2 linked regions of the Caenorhabditis elegans genome follow. The protein of the gene in region 1 purifies or fractionates together with the protein of each later gene. This does not show direct contact. Each region holds a gene or a part of one and is shown on either strand. Other genes may lie near its edges. The genes, in order: fbxb-76 and srx-93.

Region 1 (3,880 bases):
TAATTGATACGCCTTTCAGAAGCGGACCACCTGCGGTCCAAAACAACGAAAATGATGTGAGGGAGGACTGGAAAAAAGAAGAAAAGGAGATAAATGAGAACGAATTAAATTATCTATCAATAGTTGTTCTTCTGTACTTTTTCTAGAATATTAGAAAACAACTCAATGAATGGAAAATATAAATGACTCGAATCGCCTAGCTGATCCATTTTTGAATCATTAATATCTCATTCAACCTATCCAAAAGGGACTTTTGAAATTATGAACTTTCTCCATCTAAATTCAATTTCTTTTCATGTGATATTTGCTCTTTTTCAATGTGATTTGTGCTCTTTACATCAAATCCTCAAAACTCTAATACCACACAGACTATATTAACAAACTCATTTTGATTTAGAATTTATATGTATGACGCCTTGCATTTTCAAGTTTCTGGAAGGTTGAAGGTTTATAGTAAGATTACGGCTCTCACCTGGATACAATTTTTCTTACACCAATTTGAATTTTGTAAGACAATAATTTGTTTACTTTGAAATAAAGACGTCTTGAGGCGGGTGACATATTCTGTTTGAAAGCCCTGACTGGGAAACGCTGGAGGACGTGTGAATGAAGTTTTGCTTTAACATTTCCAAAAATAGTCTAAAATTCAGAAATAAGACAAAAAAATGGAAATCGATTAAGAATGCAAATTTCAACTGTGAAAACCCAAATGTTTAATTTTGGCAGAGTTAAATATTTGTATTCGGCGAGAAAAATATGAAAAGCTAGTAATTTTGGCAGAACTCATAGTCAGATAAAAATGTAAAACGGAGACTAGAATGGTGACCTTAAAACTGATCAGACGACATTTAAAGTATTCCAAATACGTACCAATTCCAGAATCAGAAAAGTTCAGGTATAATTTCAGCTGCCAGTCACTCTGAATAACTAGATTCCACTCACTCTTTGATCATTCGACGTTTGGATTATTTATATCTGGAACATAGTGTCATCACTCACGGAAATCTGACGTTTCCGGATCACTAATATTATTTCGAAAAGCAACCACGGAAGAGCTTTCATTTGAAATTGATCAAAGCATATTCTCCTTCAAGCCTTTCAAATTGTATTTATTCTGTAGCAAAAACACAACAACAATGATTGGACACAGTTATACTGAAAGTTTGAAAGTTATCTCAGTAGAATATACAAATAATCAAAGTTCTTTGCCAGCAATAAAATGGGTCGATGATCGCGTAAGGAATGAGAAAAAGTCCGTACGAAAACTTTGTGGCAAGGACAATTGAAGTTAATTTTAGTAAATGTGAGAATCAGAAATAGAAAACGATGAAACAAATAAACAAAGGAAAAGGGTGCATGATGTTCTACAACTTTCGAGGGAAAATTGAGGGAAATTACTATTTGTCAAAAGTGAAACCATATACGAGTTTCTAGATAATAATAGATATCTATAAGTCCTCTTTTTTTATAATTTCGTTTATCATTTCGAGAGCTAAATTAAACCATCTCGTTGCATGGTTTTTTATGCATTCGTTGTGATTTCGTTGTGAGTGATTGAAAGCTGCCTTCGTGATTTACAGGCGGTGTCGGCAAGCTATTAGGCTCTTGTGTGTTAATATTTTTAAGATATATAACATCATTTTGACTGAATAAAATATTCCCCTTCAATAAATATGAACGTAAAGGTGGCCTTTGACCCAGTTCTTCCTAATTTTATAGTGATTCAACGCGTTGTCTACTCGAGTGGGCATTACGAGAGAAGCAGAGGATAAGAGAAAAAGCAAGAAAGATCTGAAAATAGGATAATAATGGGGTTAGATCATAAGTCTCCCTCTTCCATTCAATATTGTAACACAGTCACTGTTCTCCTATTCTGACACAATGAGCATCTTTCCTCTGCTCAATCTACCTGAGAAATCTCTGAATTACGTTCTTCGAAGAATGCCTTTAACCGAATTGTAAGTTTCTGAAATTTTGTGTTTATCCGTTTTCCAAAACTTCTTAAACCCTCCACCGTTTTTTGTGTGACACTTTGACCTATAAAAATGGGGACACCAGTTTGTTATGACGTCACGCATCATTAGACGTTGCTCGACAAAATACGCCTGACGACACACTAATAACCAAATATTATTGTGTCGCAGAAACGCCGTTTGTAAAATAATTATAGCTGCCAATATTAAAGTGGAACTACCGTATTTCTTCTATTAGTATTGCAGTCTCTAATAGTCTTGCACCTTTTTTTTGACTATGAGGAAACTTCAACGAATTTGTAATTTTTGGATAAACTTCTCAAAAATTGTTCTAATAGAGGATAAAGTATTAGAAAATAATGTATTGGTTTAAACGGTTGTATTGGTTTAAAAGTTTTCCATAAAATTTGGTAACTGTTCCGAAGTTATGGGGCTTTTGAAAATTAGTCTTGCACCTGTGAGAGGTCAGTTCTATACTGCCTCTCCGTTTCTTTTTATCGAGTGCACTCGATCATGGCCATCGACAACTGGTGGGGTGAGAGAGCACGAGAGAATAGATACATTTTATTCTACATATGAGAATTAACATCATTTCTATCCGGAGGCAAAAAAAAAGTTTCTTGTTTCAGAATTGGATTCGCTCTCATTTCTCAAACGGCAAAAAATCATGTTGAGAATTTGAATATAAAAATGAGAGATGTTCTGGTGGGTTTAGAAGACAATATACGATTTTATATTCGGGCCGATAGGAATAACTTTGTTGCGTCCGCGTTCTTCTCATTTGATATAAACCAAGTCCTTGAACAACCTGGTAAACGTGAATTCATTCTGAAGACTAGTGAAGGACAAACTTGGACCAATCCAGGACTTGGAGTGAGACAATTTTTGGATCATGTTCTTGAAATAGGTCATCATCCAGAGCTTTCTATTTTCTTCAATAAGATTGATTGCGACGAAGATACAATTTGTGATATGTTTGATGTTTTGGCACTTGAAACATTCGCAATGTACATCGGAAACTTTGTTAATATTTTTTATCAAAAAATGTTGAAGTATTATTTGAAAAACAAAAAAGTACAATGAACGACACTCCATAGAGACATCCAAATGGAACGACAAAACCGGAAACAATTTTGAGAGAAAAAAGTTAGAAAAAGTCAAAAGATTGGTGTGAGTCAAAAGAATGTGCCCCCTTGGGTGCAAGTTGAATAAAGAAAGTGAAGAAGATGGATTGAATGATCACAAAATGGAAAGTTTACAAGGAAAATTTTTCAGGGGATTTCTGGAAAATAACTAAAATTGGAAATTGCATTTCAAATCACACAAGCTTTTCAGTTTTCAACTTCAAATTATTTTCTTGAAATTAATATACGTCTAAAACTCTCTGAAACAAATAGCAATTTTGTCAACTTCTATTTTCAGCAATTGTTTTCTTTTCAATGATACTACAAATTTCTGTAAAATTTATAAAATGTTTACTTTCATTTTTGTAGAACACTGTTCAGAAGAATATCAAACAATCATTGATTGATACGAGAGAATCATTCAGATGAATTGCGTCCCTTTCACATTTACAGCGGCATTTTTTACGGAAACATCTATTATAACTTTTGTGGGGTTCGAATCGGTACAGGATTGCATTTTATTTTGGAACAGTTGGGGCTCGCACGATTTATTTAACAAAATTTTAAACTTCAAGGTATCGTTGAGCATGCAAATAAATCAGATTATTATGACAACATGAAAACTTGGGTGTATGGGGTAGAGAAAAATGGGAAGGGAATGATGCTGAATAATAGCTGATTAGCTCAAGAGATCAAATGCAATAAAGTTAGTACATGTAAAGATTAGATTAGTTTGCGGAATGGGGGTGTTTAGAACAACTTATCAATATCCCGATTTATCAT
Region 2 (3,935 bases), on another chromosome or scaffold:
TTCAGATAGAACTCCATGTTACTATATTTTTTAACTGAAATTTCAAAAGAAAATAAAAGGACATCACAATCAAACAAAAAATCAACTAATTTTGTGTTATTTCAGAATAATAAAAGAATGCGAAAAATATATTTAATTTTATACAAACAATTCTTCTAGATTCCCTATATCTTATTGATATAACTTTTAATGCGCAACTAAGGTTTGTTTATATTATACTTTTCATCTAAATTTTTGGTTTTAATTTTCCAGTTTCTGGAGCACTACCCGTTTGTGGACATATTTTTGTGGAACTTTTATTTGGGAATGCCTACATTCTATTGATGGGTGAGACCGAACTCTATACATTAATCATATTTTTTATTGCAGATTCATTATGATAATTTTCAATGAAAAGCTGGCATTTCTTAAAACTAAAATTAAAAAGAAAATAGTGCTCCCAATAATTGGTGGTGGCCATCCTCGACAAGGCCAGACATCAGTCACAACATATTCTTATGGAAACAATTTTTTTAACACTGTAAATAATTAAACTTTTTAATCTAGCTTTTCTCTTAATTTTAAAATCCCATTTAACGCGAATTTAACATTTTATTTACATTTCTCTTATTTCGCGAATATGAAGAGTAATGAAGTTAATTCATTTTATTCAATTCATTTTTGATAATTTTATTTCATTTATTACAATTGTCAAAATCGTTAGAAAATACACATTGCACGCACAATACGTAGACAAACGCAGGCGTGGGTACCAAAAAAGAATACAGAGAAAGATAATTTCACCGAAAAGAAAACAAGAAAGCATGTGTACATATATATATATATATATACCAGCCGTTCGCACGCGCTAAAGCGCGTGCTCCGACTGGCTTACTCGAAATTAAAATGGAATTCTAGAAATTTTAAGCGTTTCTCTGCAGATGGGACGTTTTTTCTCAGTTTTCCAGATGTTTTTAAAGCAACATGAATATTATATGACTAAGTGTTCAAGAGTTACAACTTTAAAAAACTCTAGTTTCTTGGAACTACTTCTGAATTTCTTGAACGTTTCTAGATATTCTTCATGTCATATGATCATATGAAACTTATCCACGTTTTTTTCCGAAAGTTTTTGGCAAACGTCATTTTTTACATTTTTAAGTTCATGGCATTTATTTAACTTTTGATCTTTTAAAGAGATTCTAGAAAGTTATGAAAATTTTAGAACGCTCCACGAACTTCTAAACTTTTCCAGAAGATCATTCCAGAGTTTTGTCGAATTTTCTAGAAGGTTCTGGAACATTTCAGACAATTCTTGAATTTTCTAGAACGATTTAGAACATTACAGACTTTTTCTGATTTTTCAAGAAAGTTCTGGAACATTCCAAAATTTTACGATTTTTCTAGAAAATTCTGGAAAATTTTTTTTTCAGAAAATTTGAATTTCCCGCCAAAATTTTTTCACTAAAAATTTGAATTTCCCGCCAAAATATTTTTTTCACTAAAAATTTGAATTTCCCGCCAAAATGTTTTTCACTAAAAATTTGAATTTCCCGCCAAAATTTTGGGTCTTACTACGGTGGGTCTCACCACGATGGGTCTCGCCACGATGGTTCTCACCACGACGGGTCTCACCACGGTGGGTCTCGCCACGATGGGTCTCACCACGAAGGATGACAGACCCCGCCCACAATTCTCAGTGACTTTGGGTGTGACGTCACAGACTACAAAGACTACATAGACTACAAACTATGGAACAAACGGAATTATTTTTTTATATATAAGTAATGATATATATACCAGCCGTGGACCGCACCTCCGGCGCGGCCCCCGACTTCTGGGGCTGAAAACTAATTTTTCTGAAACTACCGTAATCATACAGCATTCCTACCGTAACCCTATTGTACCACTACAGTACCCCGACTATATCCCTACACTAAGCCCAACTCACTATCCCTCCAGAAGCCAAAACTTCATAGACTACAAAGACTACATAGACTACAAACTATGGACAAACGGAATAAGCGCTTTATATATAGTAAATGATATATACATATATTAGGACTCTGTTTCACTATATTCTAGTTCAAACATTTTTGTAAATTACATGATTTTTTTATAATAACACTTTTTCAGATTTACTGTTAGCATCAATAGTAACATTTCCCTTTAGAAGTAAAATTAAAATTAAAATGATACTACAAAAACATGCTTGAACTTACAGAATTATGTCCCAAGAGTACAACTATACGGATCCCCTCAACTTGGTGGTAGCATTCCTACTGGGAACGGTAAGGATTTGTTTGTAAATAAAAATTGAAAATATAAATTCTACAGATTGGAACTTTCGGTGTGGTCTGTAACTCCTTAATTGTCTACATTTTTCTCAAAGAAAAATCTGAACAAACCGCTTTTAATGTCATTTGTTTCTTTCGGGCTATATCAAATGTCATAATTTTAACAACTATCTTTCTGATCACTTACCTACCAAAAACTTTATTGTGAGACCTTTTTTTAAAACAATAATGGAACAATTGAAAGTTCCAGAGGGTATTCTCCATACCCACCAGCAATCGAATCTTGGTTCATCAATACATCACACCCTTTATATCTTGGAAATGAGTATCAAATTGTTCTAATGGCCATTAACAGATTTTGTGCAATGTTTTTTCCAACAAAATATTCGCGTATATTTTCATTATCTCATACAACAATCATACTCGTTCTAATCTATCTCTATAGAATTGCACAGAAAATATATGAATGGTTGCCAGAGTCCGGTGGGTAAAATGAAGCCATATTTACTAGGTTATTTTTATAATACTTTTAGCAAAAGGTTGCTATACATTATTTTCGACAAAATATTTTGCTTGGAAGTACAGCAGTGCTCCCGGTTGTGACTATGTTGATGGTGCTCCAGAAGTAATTAAATATACTTTTATAACAACGGCATTTTTGAATTTTATCACTTTTTTGAAGATCTTGCATTTTTACAAAGTATTTTTTTTTTGAAAAAAAATTCAAATTAATTTTTTTATGATTTCAGAAGTCTAATAGTTCACAAGTAGCTGTAGAAGCTAAGAAAAGAATGCGGAAAAATATATTAAATTTTATACAAACAATTCTTCTAGATTCCCTTTACCTTATTGATATAACTTTTACTTTTGAACTAAGGTTTGTCGATTTTATAACTCTGTTTATTTTGAAGCACTTCAAATTCCAGTTCCTGGAGCACTCGCCGTGTGTGGACATATTTCTGTGGAACTTTTATTTGGGAATGCCTACATTCTCTTGATGGGTGAGACCGAACTGGTACATTAATAATATATTTTGTTTCAGATTTATTATGATAATTTTCAATGAAAAGCTGACATTTCTTAGAAGCAAAACGAGAAATAAAGTAGTGCTCCCAATAATTGGTGGTGGGCATCCTCGACAAGGCCAGACATCAGTGACAACATATTCTAATGTGAAATAAATTATAACCACTAAAACTATAAAACCTTTAGCTTTTTAATCTAGTATTTCGTTTAATTTTTAAAATCCAATTTAATCCGAGATCCACGTTTTTGTACATTTCTCTTATTCATCTCGAACATCCAAATTTTTCCACAAAAAAATTCGGAAAATTTGAGCTTCCCGCCAAAATTGTTTCTCAGAACATATGAATTTCCCACCTATTTTTTTCCAGACAGTTCGAATTTTCCGACAATATTTTTTTCGTGGAAAACTTTAAATTCCCACCAATTTGTTTTTCAGGACATTCGAATTTCCAACCAAATTTGTTTTCATAGAAAATTTGAATTTTTCGCTAAATTGTTTTCTCAGAAAACTTGAATTTCCCAAAATTTTTTCCAGACAAATTGAATTTAATTCTGCCAATAATTTTTTTCGCAGAAAATTTGAGAAAATTTGAGATAACAACAACTGGGAGCCGAGCACTGAGCTCTGAAGCA

What was found.
Region 2: the proteins of fbxb-76 (region 1) and srx-93 fractionate together in Caenorhabditis elegans (co-fractionation; one large-scale study listed by BioGRID). This does not show direct contact.

The regions. Positions count from the first base shown.
Region 1 is NC_003282.8:11,377,350-11,381,229, reverse strand, and holds fbxb-76 (F-box domain-containing protein), read left to right. Parts: upstream 1-1,875; 5' UTR 1,876-1,881; coding exon 1,882-1,958; intron 1,959-2,602; coding exon 2,603-3,056; 3' UTR 3,057-3,059; downstream 3,060-3,880. Other genes in the region: Chitin-binding domain protein cbd-1, read right to left, coding at 3,861-3,880.
Region 2 is NC_003283.11:3,618,981-3,622,915, reverse strand, and holds srx-93 (G-protein coupled receptors family 1 profile domain-containing protein), read left to right. Parts: upstream 1-2,207; coding exon 2,208-2,270; intron 2,271-2,316; coding exon 2,317-2,480; intron 2,481-2,526; coding exon 2,527-2,759; intron 2,760-2,809; coding exon 2,810-2,976; intron 2,977-3,025; coding exon 3,026-3,153; intron 3,154-3,202; coding exon 3,203-3,277; intron 3,278-3,318; coding exon 3,319-3,457; downstream 3,458-3,935.